Oryzias latipes: one gene and its partner. The protein of the gene in region 2 interacts with the protein of the main gene of each other region in a biochemical or structural test. Links are inferred from orthologs where the notes say so. Each region holds a gene or a part of one and is shown on either strand. Other genes may lie near its edges.

What was found.
Region 1: of the proteins of dcaf1 (region 2) and ung, one has a biochemical effect on the other in vitro, tested with the Homo sapiens proteins (2 studies listed by BioGRID, with this or other methods). The link is inferred for Oryzias latipes from reciprocal best matches to the Homo sapiens genes DCAF1 and UNG.

Annotation. Positions count from the first base shown.
Region 1 is NC_019867.2:12,979,519-12,984,083, reverse strand, and holds ung (uracil-DNA glycosylase), read right to left. Parts: upstream 2,910-4,565; 5' UTR 2,804-2,909; coding exon 2,510-2,803; intron 2,430-2,509; coding exon 2,334-2,429; exon of another isoform or gene 2,269-2,333; intron 1,227-2,268; coding exon 1,129-1,226; intron 1,001-1,128; coding exon 912-1,000; intron 818-911; coding exon 639-817; intron 559-638; coding exon 418-558; 3' UTR 116-417; downstream 1-115. Other genes in the region: DNA oxidative demethylase ALKBH2, read left to right, coding at 3,855-3,992, 4,100-4,418, 4,490-4,565. UniProt on the Homo sapiens protein: Uracil-DNA glycosylase that hydrolyzes the N-glycosidic bond between uracil and deoxyribose in single- and double-stranded DNA (ssDNA and dsDNA) to release a free uracil residue and form an abasic (apurinic/apyrimidinic; AP) site.
Region 2 is NC_019865.2:16,270,540-16,273,961, forward strand, and holds the end of dcaf1 (DDB1- and CUL4-associated factor 1), read right to left. Parts: coding exon 3,391-3,422; intron 3,293-3,390; coding exon 3,219-3,292; intron 3,140-3,218; coding exon 3,044-3,139; intron 2,948-3,043; coding exon 2,668-2,947; intron 1,712-2,667; coding exon 1,656-1,711; 3' UTR 507-1,655; downstream 1-506. UniProt on the Homo sapiens protein: Acts both as a substrate recognition component of E3 ubiquitin-protein ligase complexes and as an atypical serine/threonine-protein kinase, playing key roles in various processes such as cell cycle, telomerase regulation and histone modification.

The DNA of each region.
Region 1 (4,565 bases), on a different chromosome or scaffold from region 2:
ACGGTTCTGGAAATTCATTCTTTTAGACATTTTTAAGGAAACACTAAGTTCAGCTCACATTGATGATGTAAAACAATCCATTGATGTAAAAAGATTGTTCACGACAAAACGTGAATTGAATTGATAAGACAATAAACTTTATTGCATAAACTAAAAGCTAATAACATACAGATATATTTAATGCTATATCTGCACAACACTCATGACAAGTCGCACAACAACAGCTACCATCCAGATCTGACGGCCAAGATGGTGAAAAGGCATCTTACAAAAACTGCCTATTAGAATAAGTAGTTAAAAGAAAAAAGGCAAACTTACAAGTATAAACTGTTTCAGGAAGAGAAAGTAAAAGCTTATGAGTGGGTTTTGGTCTAGAGTTAAGGAACACATGTTGGAAGATCTATCAAACACGTGAAGTTAAAGTGCTTTCCAATCAATGGGAGACTTTCCAGATTTCTTTAGCAGCTCATTGGCCTTTGAAAAGTGTTTGCAACCAAAAAATCCTCGATGTGCTGACAGGGGAGAAGGATGCACCGCCTGCAGCACGTGGTGATGTTTCTAGAAGTAGATAGAAAGGCATACAATGACTGCTACGCTACAAAGGCCTCTGCTGACATTTTGAAGGTTAGATGGAGTACCCTATTGATGGCAGATCCTTTCTTCTGAGCATATGATCCCCAGAGGAGGAAGACTAGGCCTTGTAGGTTGTTGCTGAGCCACTGAACCACAGCATCAGTAAAGACCTCCCAACCTTTGTCTTTGTGGGAGTTTGCCTGGTGTGCTCGAACGGTCAGCACAGCGTTCAGCAAGAGCACACCTGGTGAGAACGGTCAAAGGAAAGACGGACAGCATGTTCGTGGATGACCAAATCTGCAAAACGGAAACATTCAAAGCAATCTTTGAATCTTTACCCTGTTGAGCCCATCCAGTGAGATCTCCATGACCAGGATGCTTAAAGCCTTCAATATCAGAAACCAGTTCTTTGTACATGTTCTCCAAGCTGGAGGAAAAAAAAAAACAAGTGTCAAAATGCAGATTTTTATTTAGATGAGCTGTAGTGCAGAGCATCCAAGATCATCAGAATTATGTGTCGATAGATAAATGAAGGGAAACACAATAGTTATAAACCTGGGTGGAGGAGAAATGGGTCGTTTCACGCTGAAACACAATCCATGCGCTTGACCTGGACCGTGATACGGATCCTGTCCCAGAATCACCACCTTGACCTAAAACCAGATGTGTTTTTAGGATTTCTAAGTCCTCCTCTCAAAAAAAATACTCATTGAATGTACTTTTCACGTACAGATAAGACTTCTGGATGAAACCAAATCTGATTCCACACCTTTCCCATCTTTATTTAGGACATGTAAATAAATTACCCAAAATAAGAAATAGTGCTGTAAAAATTGTAAATCACTGATATTCTTGAATTAGAATAGAAAACACAATTATCTAAGCTGTAGTCATTTTAAACACTCCGTTATCAGCAAGAGAAATGTTTAAAAAAAAAACGATGTAGGCATTTGCTTTTGAGAAAAACCCATCTGAATGGCCAAAAAATATTCACCTGGTACCTCCTTTTTCTTCTGTTTATTAGAAATTACTTTATGGTGGCTAAAAGTTGAGAGAAAACCTTTTAAATACATATTTTTTAAAAAAAAACATCTAATGCTGCAAACAGTCCATGTGGACAACAGGTCAATACTTTATAAACGTTTTAGCTTTTTAATCTTCTTTGCCCTTTGGCTGCAAATCATCAGCCTACATCTAAACCCTTCATCTGCATCCTCATCATCACACCAACTATTCATACCAAATTATCAGTAATCTAAAGAAGAAATGCAATACGCTGTGCACTTTGCAGGATACAGATTTATCAACAGGATTACCATTTACTAAACATGCATGGAAGTCGAAGGTTTTCCTTAAAATCCATAAGAACCCAGATCTGGTTGACCTTAAATGAAAACATTGTGGGATACTCACAGACCACAAGACACATTTCTGATTATTTTTTTAGTCACACGGGTGTCCCCATGGGTTCTTATGGGGTAAAATAAATAACTTGAAGTGGCTCCCTGGTGTACCTTTTATGCACTTGTGATGATGTAATGCAGCTAAAGCCTAGTTTTTATATATAGAGGGTATTGAAAAGTTTGAGATCTGCGATCTTTAAATAGGCTGATCATATTTGTGAAGAAATCTTTAACACAAAACGCCCCCCCCCACACCTTTTTTTTGTAAAAAAGAGTGAGTTCAGAGGCAAGGATCCACTCCTCCCACCTGTTGACTCAGTCTGACCACGTGGTCAGATGTTTGTGCGTCCAACTCACGTCTCTGATGTCACACATCTGGGTCCAGGTGAAGATCTGTTCGGCAGGTGGGTACACAGTACCGCGCTTCCTCTCGTCAGAAACAAACTTTGTCAGCTGTGGCACGCATAGGAAACAATCAATAGAGCTGCTGAACAACAGAAACCGCAGTGCATGCAGACGCGTGGCTCTCTCACATCTTTAAAATATGGTTTGGAAAACTCAGACCAGAGTTCCCTGCGCCAGCTCTCGCTGAACCCCTGCGGCGTCAGCCCGGAAGCGAGCTTCTCCAGCGCGGCTTTCTTGTTGCGGGCAATCTTGTCCAGTTGCTCCGGAGACAGAGGAGAACTTTGCGGTTCTGGGTCCACTGCAGCGATCTTCGGTTTCTTCTGGATAATTTTAATATATTGAGAAGAAAGACGAACCGGCATGAAACTTGATATATGCAACGAACATTTATTAATACCCAGAAAACACAAAGGTGCTAACATTTTCTTGTTACGCTAGCAGGGAACGACATCTTTGACATTTCAGAGTATCGAAAAGACCACGAACGCAGCACGGGAACATTAAAAAATCTCGCGAGAACAACACCATCAGTGCATGGACTGCAAGTAAAGTTGTCCAAGTCGAGTTAATTACATTTGATTTGTGTATTATCTGTTTAAAAAACAAGAAATAATTTTAAAGAAAGTGATGCTTACTGGCTCAATATCATCCTCCGTTGTTTTATTCGTCTCCTGAGACAACCTCTTTTTTGAAACCGGCGAGAAAAAGGAGTTAATAGTTTTCTGTCCAATCATTTTTCCAAAATACTGAAGAAATAAACTGTCCTATACTGTCTGGAAGGACTAACTCTATCCGGCTAATTCATTCACAGCAGATAAATTGCAGTACTCCAGGTAAAACGACCTCGCGGACTATAGTTAAGACTTTTCGCGCCTTAATTTAGTGACGAAAGCATTTATGGTAATGAGCTGAGCGCCGTTCAAGCGCAGCCAGTTTTCACGCTTCTGCAGCAGCTGTTATAAACTTTGTCTGGTCAAGCAAACTACCTTGAATTGCTTTTCAGGCCACATGTTGCAAAATGCTGACATTTTTGGAAGATAGTTGGTAGAAGAAACGTCTTATGAAGGTAAGAGAAGTCAGGGTTTTTATGAAGAAAAGTGGAAGTTGTTTAGTGGATTAAATGGTTTTCTTTCAAAAACAAACTGAACATAACAGAAAAACTTTCCGGATTTATGGGATCAAAGCAGATAATTTAGACTTGGTTGTGGAATGAAGAAGTTCAGGACTGTGTGTTAAGAGAAAGGCTGAGGTCAGAAGTGAGCATTTTGAGCAACAGTAGGTTTCACGCAGAGAATGAGAACCACAGATGTCATTTGTTTTGAGGGTGCTTCTGGAAAAGAGAAGGTCAGAAGGAGCTGGATTGTGTCTTTCTAGATCTAGATGGAAATGACGGGATACAGAGAAAGGAGCTGGGGTTTTGTATGAAGAGTCAGAAATGTGTTGGAGTTGAGCAGGATGTAAGACAGCAGTGAGATGTGCTGTAGGTGTGATGGAGAAGTTCACGGTGGAGGTGGGACTGCTTCAAGGATCAGCTTTTTTTTTCCATTGTTTACTGTGGCGATGGACAGACTGACAGATGAGGTCAGACATGGATATCCACGGATCATACGAGTAGGAAGATCAGCTGAAAGCAGAAAGTCTCAATGTTTTTCGTAAATGACAGCCTTATTGTAAAGACTAATTTTCCCCTTTATAATATTTTTCTTTGTCTTGTCAAGGAGATCAAATCTTACTTACCTGAGAACCACCAGTGTTTTTCTGCAATGATGGAAAACGGTGTTCTTCAAAGGCGACATAAGCGTTTATGCACAAAGAATTCCCCTGAAAGAAGGGAATGGAAGATGATGAAACTGCTGAATGATGACGAGGGCATACAAGAGGAAGATGGTGACACTAAACTAGGAGAGTTCTCCCATCCTGTTCCCTGGCAAAAAATAGAGGCAGAGGGACTCGACTGTGATTATGCATTGATTTTCTCTAAAAAGGAAGCCGATGAGCTGTTTAAGCATTTGGAGGAGGAGGTGGTGTACTCTACAGGTATACCTTCCATCTTTTTTCTGCTTCGTACCCAAAGGTTGCACTGAATTTGATCCATGTTGGTCTTTCAGGAGAAGAAGCAAAGGTCCAGGTGTATGGAAAGGTCTACAACATCCCAAGAAAGCAGGCAACGTATGGAGACACGGG
Region 2 (3,422 bases):
CAAAATAAAACCAAGTTGTTAAAAAACATTTGTGATCCAACTGTCAAGGCAAATAAATGCACTGTATTTTTTGAGGGGAAAAAAGATGGATTTATGAACTAAAATGTATAGGAATAAAGCAAGTTAGTTAAACCAATGTCAATGTCAGAGTATAATTTGAATTTTTGAAAGCTTTTTGAATCACCTGAGTCCAATGTTGATAAACAGGTACCATCTATTCCATTGTAGAAATTATCCCTATGCTCCTTCAAACATTAGATTTGCACTAATTCATTCAAATGATCTGTTTTTGTTTTGTCTTTAAAATTCACAATGGAAAAAGCCTAAGGAACTTTATTGCATAATAGTATAAATAAATTGGCCTCCCCTTGTTGCATCATCACATCACACTGTATAATAAGAAAATGTGTTTAACTTTTGCTGTATTTGAACTGTTCCTCTTAAAAAACAGATTTAACATTTGTCTGCAAACATGGGTCACTCTTCTTCAAAAAAAAGCACAGGAGTCAAAGCACAAATTGTTCCGTTTTATTTATAGTAAAAATACTTTAGATACATACAACCTGTACAGTAAATGTGTTGAGAAACTCAAAGGTCTCCAAAAGGGAAAAGTAAATCCTAGAAACAAGAGAACCAAAAAAGTATACCATGTTGCACTGCGTTAAAGTGTGCGTGTGCTAAGCCTTTGCTTTTTCAAAAATGACAGTATCCAACATGTCAGGGGGGAAAAAGAAAAAGAAAAAAAAATTCACACACAGCATATTTTTGCAGCGTTAATCACAGTTTCTCAATATTCCAAGAATTGAAACGGTTTAACCATCAGTCCGCTAATTAACCACTCACTTCAATAACCAATGAGATTTGAGAAATAAAACAAAGTTTTCTGAACTTTATTTAAATAACTGGACCTGTGCTGGTTCCAAGCACACAAAACCCTGCATTTTTCCAACCCTGCGAGCATCCATGGAAGTCGGATCACTTTGTGAGCTCAACCATAAGATTGTAAGGAGCTAAAGACATCCGCTGCCTGCTGGACGGCTGTGAACTTGTGTCACTGGTGTTGTTACAATGTCTGCACTCGCTGGAGTGACAGCTTGATCCAATTCTTCTGTTTACATAACAAAATCAGGAGACAACATCTATTATTGGAACTGCTGAGTGGCTCTTTGGCAATCAAGAGCCCCGTGTGTTAAGATCCCTACAGCTGCCTAATTCACGGATGTTGTTGGGCTGTTTTTTTTATTTATTTTTTCCCAGACAAACTACTTGCCTTGCAACTCACATGTTGTCCTTCAGTCAGGATGGGTAGAGAATTAAAAAGGAAAAGTCAGTTGAGAAGAACCATACTTTGTGTCTTCAAAGATGGAGAGAATGAATCAATTTGAAACAAACTGGCTTTTTAAAAAGCCAATAAAGTGAGAACTTCTAAAACCTTTTTTCACTACATCTACATAGTGGCCTTTTTAAACACATCAAACCAATTTTTAATAGAAAGTTATATACTTTACAATCATTTTTGCCCAATGCCATGTCTCCATGTTCTTCTCTGCTCTTTCCTACCAAGGATCATCTGTGTTTGAGACTTTTGTAGATTATCAAGACAAATAAACTGTGGTTTTCCATGGACCCCACAGTCCTGGACGATGGGGGTATCTTCACTCATTTAGGGATAAGATGATGTCATCCTCCAGATCGGAGTTGTCCGAGCTGTCTGTTGGTGCAGCAGATCAAATGGAGATTTGGATATTAAACAACAAACATTTGGTCAGAGCATCACACTAGAAGAGCAAACGTGAAGGCTTTCTAATTCGTTTTTTATTTTCATACAGGTCTTTGGTTTACTTGCGTCTTTATTCTTAAACTTACTTCTGAAATATTCAAATTTTATTTTTAAAAATAGAAGATAGTCACTCAAAAAGCAAAACCCTTTTTTTGGAGGAAGCTTAAGGTTAGGTTAACGTTTTTTTTTAAAACTGTTCTTAAAATAAGTTAAACAGGCAACAATGAGGCTTTACTCTAAAGATTTTGAAACATGTTTTTCTGACTGGGAAAAAATGTGTTATTACTGAAGGAATATGAAATAAAACTGTTTATGTAGCTTTTAAATTAATTCTCTTTATTTGGCAAAGTGTCTGACAAATATGAATTGAATTGCAAGTCTTAAAAATTAAACAGCAGTTACCACTTTGGAATCATGTGGCACCATAACAGGCACCCAAACACAAAGGAATGACTCCCAAATGAAAACCTTTTTGAAAGTGCAGCAGAAAATAAATGCACATCCACCTCAGGGAGCTCTATGAAAAACATTCCTGAAGGACTCGATTATTCCCCACAATCAGCTGTGTGGAAGCAATCAGGTGGTTGAGTTTAAGGTCAAATCTATGCCAGATCATTCAAACTGTTCTTTTTTATTCTTTTGCTGTGATACAAATAGCAAAAGAAAACTGGCAGTTCATTTCATTAATGCATTGATGAGCACCACTGATTAGATGAAAGACAGTGGCCCTAATAATATAAGTTATCAAAGGTTGTGGTTTACTTTATAGAAAATATGTAATTCACGCTCAAGTACAGAAAATTCTGTTTGAGTCAATAAAACTGAGTTCTTCCAGCAACTTGTAAAAACTACTTATAGAAATGTGTAGACTGCTCACTTATACTCACCATTGTCACCTTCCAGGTCTGCATCGTCATTGTCAGAGTCATCCTCTTCATTATCATCGTCCTCTTCATCCTCATCCTCGTCATCGTCCTCCTCGACGTCTCCATCGTCTTCAAGAAGGCGTGCGACTTCCTCATCGGATGGAGATAATGCTTCATTGCCGTCATCGTCATCATCCTCTCCTCCATTCTCGTTTTCCAGCTCAGCAATGAGAGGATCCGTATCAACGTCATCATCAGAATCGTCATCATCGTCATCGTCTTCGTCTTGGTCATCATCCTCCTGCAACACAAAAAACAAAACTAAAGTTTCAGTCATAAAGTGCAGGTATAAGATCTGCTTCTCAGTTCAGATTTTATGAAAAAAAAAAAGTTTAACCTGATCTTCCTCATCCTCCTCCTCTTCTTCTGCAAGTCGCTGCCGGCCGACTTCATAGAGGCGACACACAGTGTCAGTGTTGACAGAGTCTTGGTTCTATTGAAAAGACAATAACATAGCTTATTTTTGGAAACTTAGGCAAGCCAAAAAGATTCTTTCAAAATATAGAATTTACCTCAATCACAGCCAGATAGCAGTCTTTTGTATCTGTGCAGAGGTCAAATATGTTCCTCTTCACATCTATAGTGGCTGCAAAAACAAATGATGTGTCACTTTCCTGAGAAATTCAAGTCTTTTTAAATCAAAGTCACATAAACATCATGATCAGCTTCTTTAGAAAATCTTACCAATGGGTTTGTAGTCTGTAGCATTAAAGGTC